Linked DNA regions of Saccharomyces cerevisiae S288C. The gene in region 2 interacts genetically with the main gene of each other region. Each region holds a gene or a part of one and is shown on either strand. Other genes may lie near its edges.

Region 1 (4,139 bases), on a different chromosome or scaffold from region 2:
ACGTCGGCAAGGAAGATTAAAATTCCTCAGAGTCCATCGTTAATTGGTAACATATTGATTCCTTCACACAATAGTGACAGTAGTAACGAAAGTTCTCCTAAAGACCATATAGGGCATAATAATGAAGAAAAATTCAGTTCAAAATCTACGCGCAAGCCCTCCACATCCCTAGAAGAAGAAGGTCCACCAATTGGACTACCTTCAATTCCCGTATTAAGAAGTGTGTCCGGACCAAGCAAATGGACGAAGACACCTTTACGCTTAGAATCTGGAAATTCAACTAAGTCTGATCCATTTTCACGCTATGAAGGACACAAGACGCCCTCTCCATTGACCAAGATGAACAAGAAGAAAAATAAAACGTTGCCAGAACATGGACAACCCCTCGTGCTAGCTCCAATTAAATCTCAAAGCTCGGAGTCAGACACGGGACAGAACTCCATTATAGAAAAGCCAGCTCGAAGCATACGACGAAAGCAACAAGAAAAAACTGATAATAGGAAAGAAGACAGGCACGATGCTGAAAATATAGACCTGGAGGCGAGAATGCCAATTCAACATATCGATACCGCTTCCATTCATTCGTTTGATTCAGGTCAAAATGGATTCAGGGACGTTTACAGCATCGAAAACATCATTGTGATCCTCCTATGTTGTAGTATAGTGCCGCCATTATTTTTTATTATTGGCTGCAGCTCAAGAAGGAAATTAGTTTCAGACTATAGATTAATGAGGTTGCTTATGAATAAAGAACACCGAGCGGCTTTGCTGCAAGGATTCATATGGGACGTTGATTTAAGGTGGTTCCGGATGTTTTGTCTGATCTTAGGGGCTGCCGAAACAGTGATTGTGATGGCCGGTATTGCTATTGGATTTGGTGTGGGTATAACACGTGAATAAGAAACTGTATCATTCATCAAATAGGATAAAAAATAAAAAACTGTTCTGTCTCGTTAAAGTCATATATATAAATAGGGGATTTTCATTAATTTATATATATAGATATACTTGTGTACATGTACCCGTAAGTATCAAAAGAAACGTGCATAAGGACATGGCCTAAATTAATATTTCCGAGATACTTCCTTAAGCGGTAACTTTCTTTTCAATCAAGTCGAATAGAGTAACAATATCGGCAGAGAATTTTCTGATACCTTCGGACAATTTTTCAGTGGCCATAGCGTCTTCATTCAAGTCGAATCTGAATTTAGATTCGTCGCTGATGTAAGAAATCTTGTCGCCGGCTTCCTTCTTAGCGGAGACAGGGTCCAAAACTCTTGGGAAAGGTTCAGTACTGTTCATCAACTTGTCCAATAAAGCTGGAGAAATTGTTAGATAGTCAACACCAGCCAAGTTTTTGATTTCGTCAGTGCTTCTGAAAGAAGCACCCATAACAATAGTCTTGTAACCGTACTTCTTGTAGTAGTTGTAGATTTTCTTGACGGAAATAACACCTGGGTCGGCTTCACCCTTGTAATCTTTACCAGTGCTGGATTTGTACCAGTCTAGAATTCTACCAACAAATGGGGAAATCAAAGTAACTTGGGCCTCGGCACAGGCAACTGCTTGAACGAAGGAGAATAATAGAGTCAAATTACAGTGGATACCGTCCTTTTCTTCCAATTCTTTGGCAGCTTGAATACCTTCCCAAGTGGAAGCAATTTTAATAAGGACTCTTTCCTTGGAGACACCTTCTTGTTCAAACAATTTAATGATATGTCTAGCCTTTTCAATGGTAGCTTGAGTGTCAAAAGACAATCTAGCATCAACTTCGGTGGAGACTCTGCCTGGAACAATCTTTAAGATCTCCTTACCGAATTCGACTAACAATCTGTCCACAGCATTTTCGACTTGTTCTTCGGTGGTCTTACCATGCTTCTTACCGTATTCCACGGCAACATCGATCAACTTGGCGTAAGTTGGTTGCTTGGCAGCAGCCAAGATCAATGATGGGTTAGTTGTGGAGTCTTGAGGTTGAAACTTGGCAATAGAGCCGAAATCACCAGTGTCGGCAACAACGACAGTGCCGGAGGCTTTCAATTGTTCTAGAGAGTTGTTAGCAACCTTTTGTTTCTTTTGAGCTGGTTCAGACATTATGTACACGTATATGTGACGAGTTCGAGAAGTATTTTACTATCGTACTAAATTTTACCTGAAAAATTATATACTCGAGAAAGAGGAAGCCAAGAATTGAGAAAAAAGAAAAACCCGCGAGTAAGGAAATTAAATACAGGTGTACACATACACGCACACATATATATATATATATATATGTATATGTGTATATAGGAAGCGCGCGCATGTTAGTATATACGATTCGTTGGAAAGGGGCCGTCCACCAAACGTGACTTGACGAGTTGACAAATTGACCTCAATATGGCTCAGTCAGTAATTTTTAGTTCCGCTTTATTCCCGCCATCTTTCAGGCCACGAGGGTAGCTCATAACGCCGCGCTAATGCCGCTGCGTCACAGCAACCAGTAGCTCAGCCAAAACCGAAAGAGAAATCGTAGCTGTCCCGATGAGGACTTATACACTTGTCACCATCTAAATAAATTATTTATTCGCGTTTCGGTTCTTGTTTTCGATTTAATTAGATTGTTCATTGAATCATAATAAATATGTAAAAAATATATATATTTGAAGCTGCTTCAGAAAAACAGGGCTTCCTAGTGTACAGATGTATGTCGGATGAAAAAAAAAAAATCTTAAATGTGAAATTGGGTCAATTCAATTGACTATGACTTGATGTTGCAAAAATTCCAAGAGAAAAAGTTTCCAGCACTTGATATTATTTTCCTCTTTATTGGTTTTCTGGTCTCAACTTTCTGACTTCCTTACCAACCTTCCAGATTTCCATGTTTCTGATGGTGTCTAATTCCTTTTCTAGCTTTTCTCTGTAGTCAGGTTGAGAGTTGAATTCCAAAGATCTCTTGGTTTCGGTACCGTTCTTGGTAGATTCGTACAAGTCTTGGAAAACAGGCTTCAAAGCATTCTTGAAGATTGGGTACCAGTCCAAAGCACCTCTTCTGGCGGTGGTGGAACAAGCATCGTACATGTAATCCATACCGTACTTACCGATCAATGGGTATAGAGATTGGGTAGCTTCTTCGACGGTTTCGTTGAAAGCTTCAGATGGGGAGTGACCGTTTTCTCTCAAGACGTCGTATTGAGCCAAGAACATACCGTGGATACCACCCATTAAACAACCTCTTTCACCGTACAAGTCAGAGTTGACTTCTCTTTCGAAAGTGGTTTGGTAAACGTAACCGGAACCAATGGCAACGGCCAAAGCTTGGGCCTTTTCGTGAGCCTTACCGGTGACATCGTTCCAGACGGCGTAAGAAGAGTTAATACCACGACCTTCCTTGAACAAAGATCTGACAGTTCTACCGGAACCCTTTGGAGCAACCAAGATAACATCTAAGTCCTTTGGTGGTTCAACGTGAGTCAAGTCCTTGAAGACTGGGGAGAAACCGTGGGAGAAGTACAAAGTCTTACCCTTGGTCAACAATGGCTTGATAGCAGGCCAGGTTTCTGATTGAGCGGCATCGGACAACAAGTTCATAACGTAACTACCTCTCTTGATAGCATCTTCAACAGTGAACAAGTTCTTGCCTGGAACCCAACCGTCTTCGATGGCAGCCTTCCAAGAAGCACCATCTTTACGGACACCAATGATAACGTTCAAACCGTTGTCTCTCAAGTTCAAACCTTGACCGTAACCTTGGGAACCGTAACCGATCAAAGCAAAAGTGTCGTTCTTGAAGTAGTCCAACAACTTTTCTCTTGGCCAGTCAGCTCTTTCGTAGACGGTTTCAACAGTACCACCGAAGTTGATTTGCTTCAAACCACGGGTAGTGATCATTGGCTTAACGAAACGGGCAGCTGGTCTGCTGTAAGCAGCAGCACGGGTGGCCAAAGCAAAGGTTCTCTTAGCAGTGATGACACGGGAGTTGCAGATCAATCTGGCGGCTTGAGTTCTCAACATGTTTTATTTTTTACTTATATTGCTGGTAGGGTAAAAAAATATAACTCCTAGGAATAGGTTGTCTATATGTTTTTGTCTTGCTTCTATAATTGTAACAAACAAGGAAAGGGAAAATACTGGGTGTAAAAGCCATTGAGTCAAGTTAGGTC
Region 2 (4,082 bases):
GCCCCAGTTGTCTTGGGTGCTGGTTACACTGATGGTATCACTTACTTGTCCATCATTCCAAACCCAAACAACAAAGAAGCACCAAACTTTAACATCAAGATCGTTGCCACCGATGGCTCTACCGTCAATGGTGCTTGCTCTTACGAAAATGGTGTCTACTCTGGCTCTGGCTCTGACGGTTGTACTGTTTCAGTTACTTCTGGTTCTGCTAACTTTGTCTTCTACTAGGCCTTTTTTCCTTGAATATTGCAAATAAGCTTTTGCTAGTACTTTTTTTACTCCGTTCATTTTATGGTTTATTTTTCAATTAGTTCGTTTTTCCACAATACAAAAAAACACAGTCCTTTGTACTATCCCTTTTATTTCATTATTTTTTCTTTTTTAAGATACCACTAGATATTATCATATATAGCATATTATATAACATAAAAAGTCAAGAAAAAAAATGTTTTTATCACTTTCTATAACTGCATATCTTTTTTTGCATTTCGAATGATTGCTTACACATCGCCATGCTGGGATTCCTCCTCTGGTGGTGAGACAAATGGACCTGCTAATTCCAATGCAGGTTCGTCAATGTTGTGGTGAGCGTATGACAAAACACCAATCCCACCGGCGTCCAGTAAGAAACATGGATTGTCTACCAAATGTCTGTAAGATTCCAATTTCACATATGGAACTGTGTCGTCATCATAAGATTTGACATTTTGAATTTCTTCAATCGTCTCACACTTCTTTTGCACACCCAGTCCAAACCAAATAGCAGCAAAATAACGCAATGCATGTCCGTGCGCAAAGACCATGATGTCTGATGCTCTGCCCTCACTCTGGTGCTTGCGGTGCAAGTTCTGGATTCTGGCAATAGCGCGGGAAAGTCTCAACCCAATTTGCTGAGTAGTCTCACCGTTCTCACACCCATCTCTCCAGATATTCCATGGCCTCTCCTTGTCCAAACCGCGTGACTTTCTCAATTCAATGATTTCTCGAGTCAGCATTCCCTCGTAGTCACCGTACTCCCACTCTCGCAAGTCGTCGTCTACCACCACACGGATCTTAGCTCTTTGCTCGTCGCTTAATGGTTTCAAAACCAAATCCACAGTTTGCCTGGCACGCAAACGTGGAGAGGTGAAGATATAAGTGATGTTGTCTGGATTCAAAAACTGATTATTGCGGAAAACACTCTCACCGGTCCTCAACATTTGGCCCTCACCGTAGGGCGTTAACGGTAGATCTGTCAAACCAGTATACTGGCCTGACTTGGACCATTCAGTTTGACCGTGTCTGACAATGATACATCTGGGGGTTAGCGAAGGCATTGTTGCTTGCAATTAAGTGTAGGTGTTTCCCTATCCACTTAGCTATGAACAAAATGTGCTTATCTGAGCTAATATTTTTTCATTTTTGTCCTATAAATAATAATGGAAAAAAAAAACTCATCGCGTGGTTGAACAGAAAAAAAACAATAAGAGTGAGTAAGCAGTGAAAAATGTAAGATTTACGCTTTATATAAGCAGATTTTGGTTTCCTTTATATATTTTTGCATTTGTCTATCCTTAACATTGGATAGCAATTTGGCGGTGGGTAGTTTATAACGTGTGTGCTCTCTCTTTAAGTAACGATGTCAAGAGATGTAAGGGCAGAGAAACTAGCCATATCACTATTGATTTTATCATTGTTTCTAATATTCCAATTAGTGGCTGAGATTTATCTCAATAATGGTGATCAGTACCATACAGAGACTAGCCCCTTTACAAGAGGAAGATCACATGTAACGCGTGTGCCCAACCATGATGCTAGTTTATCTATACCGTTTTTGGACAAGATCAACCAGTTTTGGCATGTAGGCGGTGCCACGCAAATTAGGAATATTCAGTCGATCAAATTGACTCAGGACCGTGATCAAGATAAACATGGATTAGTATTGTCCAATGGAATTGGCGACAACACCATCAATGACTTTGAGATTGTTTTCACTTTCAGAATTTCTCACGACCCCACTACACAACTCACTGGTGATGGAATGTGTTTTGCCATTACGCCCGAAAATGGGTTTCTCACACAGAATTTACAGTCGTCGTATGCGAAAAAGCAATACATGATGAATTCTCAGGGCGTCATAGCCGATAATACAGATCTGATGGGCTTCCCGAAAAATCTGCCTGGCCTATTTATTGTCTTGGATACGTATCGCAACCAAGGCCACGACCATAAGGAGGTACCCTTTATGGATGTGTTTATAAATGTGGCCCCAGAAAGCGATTGGTACGATATAAATAGTGATGGTGAACTCAGTACATCGCTGCGGCTTAATTCAAGAGGCCACATAAAACTCAAGAAAAATGCCCTGTGGAATCGAGTCACGAAACTAAGAATAATATATTTGGAAAGTATAAGCTTCCTGAAGATCGACGTGCAGTACGCAAAAGAGGGAAACTACTGGATTGAGTTATTTCAAACAACCGAAAATCTGTACTTGCCGAAAAACATGCACACGGGGCAAAGATACATTGGCTGTAGCGCATTAAATGGCCAATTAACGGAGACAGTGGAGCTGCTGGACGTATCCACTAGCGAATTCCATTGGAACGACATGGATGCGTCCATTGAGGACACCTATGATTACGCAAAGGAAGCTGAGCTATTCCTGGAGCAGGAATTTGGCGAGGTCCTTGACAGGGAACCCGATGAGTTCACCAAATGGAAAATGATCAAAGCTCAACCAAACATCAAGACTGGGTCACAGTCAGCTGAACAGAAAACTTCAAACAATCCTCACTCTCGGTTGTTCAAGGTCGTGCTGACCATATGGCATTATAGCGAGATTTTGCTATTGATCATGGGCATTTATCTTTTTTCTGCTTGCATAAGAGTTTTCCAAAGAAGGTTCAAAAAAATTAGATCCAGAAGAAAAAGGGCAGGCTCGCATTCTGTGGGGCTATTGCCCATGTAGCATTGCATAGGCACGCACATACATACATACACAAATAATACAATATAGGACGTTCATCTTAGGTAGCCAATTCACGGTCTTCTTGTGGTAGTGTTACTTGCGTTCGACGGCGGGAGGGTTCTTGATCGATCCAATATACTCTGTGGTGGGATGGCCAGAACGCTAGAATTCGTCTCAAACGTCCTGTTAGAGAATATTGTGGGCCTCGTAGACTGTATTGAATGAATGTCCGAGAAAGTAGACGACTTCACTGACGAGGAACAAAACGATACTAGCGGAATAACACTTGCGTTGTCGTTTTGTTGTTGCTGCTGTTGCTGCTGCTGCTGTCTTACTTTGCCTGTTGGTGGTTCATCCCATGCCACTCGACGGTCTCCTTCGTCATCGGATTCGCTCGAATGCAACGAATTTCGATCAACCAATGGTCGCAACGACGAACTGATGGTTGTTCCATCCGGATCCAACTCAGCACGCTTAACTCTTGTGGGGCCAGCCCTAGTGCCGCGTCTTGGTTTACTGCTCGAGACCGATGCGTTAGTTGTGGTAGTGGTGTTTATTATTTTTTTAACCCACACTGAAAGTTTGTTTCTTCTTCCCTGGGATGTATGATGACTGTTTGACATGCTAGGACTTTCCCTTGGCACCATGTATATTCACTTTTATTGTCTCTTGATCGAGCTATAACCAAATTTTTTTTTTTTTTTTTTTTTTTCGTTTTTATAATTTTTTCTTTGGTATTCAATTGTATATAGTGCTCAAACAGCAACGTACATAATAGCTAGCAAACAATAGATGAAATAATAGAATAATAACAAATAACTATATAAGAGTGGCAGGAAAAAAAATCAGGCGCACGATTAGCGCAAAACCAAATTACTAATTGGTCGACACAGCCGCGGGCTTAGAATTGGTTTGGTCTTCTCTTGAGGCCTTTAGCTTCTCAATGGTGGCATTGCCCAAGTCCAACCCGGTGGATACAATGGCTTTAGGGACGCTTTCAGATTTACTTAGATTGTTTTCATAGACAGTGGTGAAGCGTTGGTAGGTTTCGTTAAGCTTAGTCTTTGTTGGGTCGATGTACACAGACTGCAACTTGTCAGTTGTGGGCTTCACTATGGCGTCGTACTTTTCT

What was found. Genes that interact genetically often act in the same process or in processes that back each other up.
Region 1: mutations in SHB17 (region 2) and TAL1 impair growth when combined (synthetic growth defect), as found in Saccharomyces cerevisiae (one study listed by BioGRID).

The regions. Positions count from the first base shown.
Region 1 is NC_001144.5:835,264-839,402, forward strand, and holds TAL1 (sedoheptulose-7-phosphate:D-glyceraldehyde-3-phosphate transaldolase TAL1), read right to left. Parts: upstream 2,095-4,139; coding exon 1,087-2,094; downstream 1-1,086. Other genes in the region: BUD8 (Bud8p), read left to right, coding at 1-900; ILV5 (ketol-acid reductoisomerase), read right to left, coding at 2,803-3,990. UniProt on the Saccharomyces cerevisiae protein: Transaldolase is important for the balance of metabolites in the pentose-phosphate pathway.
Region 2 is NC_001143.9:520,397-524,478, forward strand, and holds SHB17 (sedoheptulose-bisphosphatase), read right to left. Parts: upstream 1,317-4,082; coding exon 501-1,316; downstream 1-500. Other genes in the region: SUN family protein UTH1, read left to right, coding at 1-228; UIP5 (Uip5p), read left to right, coding at 1,619-2,950; YKR045C (uncharacterized protein), read right to left, coding at 3,022-3,573; PLN1 (Pln1p), read right to left, coding at 3,827-4,082. UniProt on the Saccharomyces cerevisiae protein: Sedoheptulose 1,7-bisphosphatase involved in riboneogenesis. Dephosphorylates sedoheptulose 1,7-bisphosphate (SBP), which is converted via the non-oxidative pentose phosphate pathway to ribose-5-phosphate.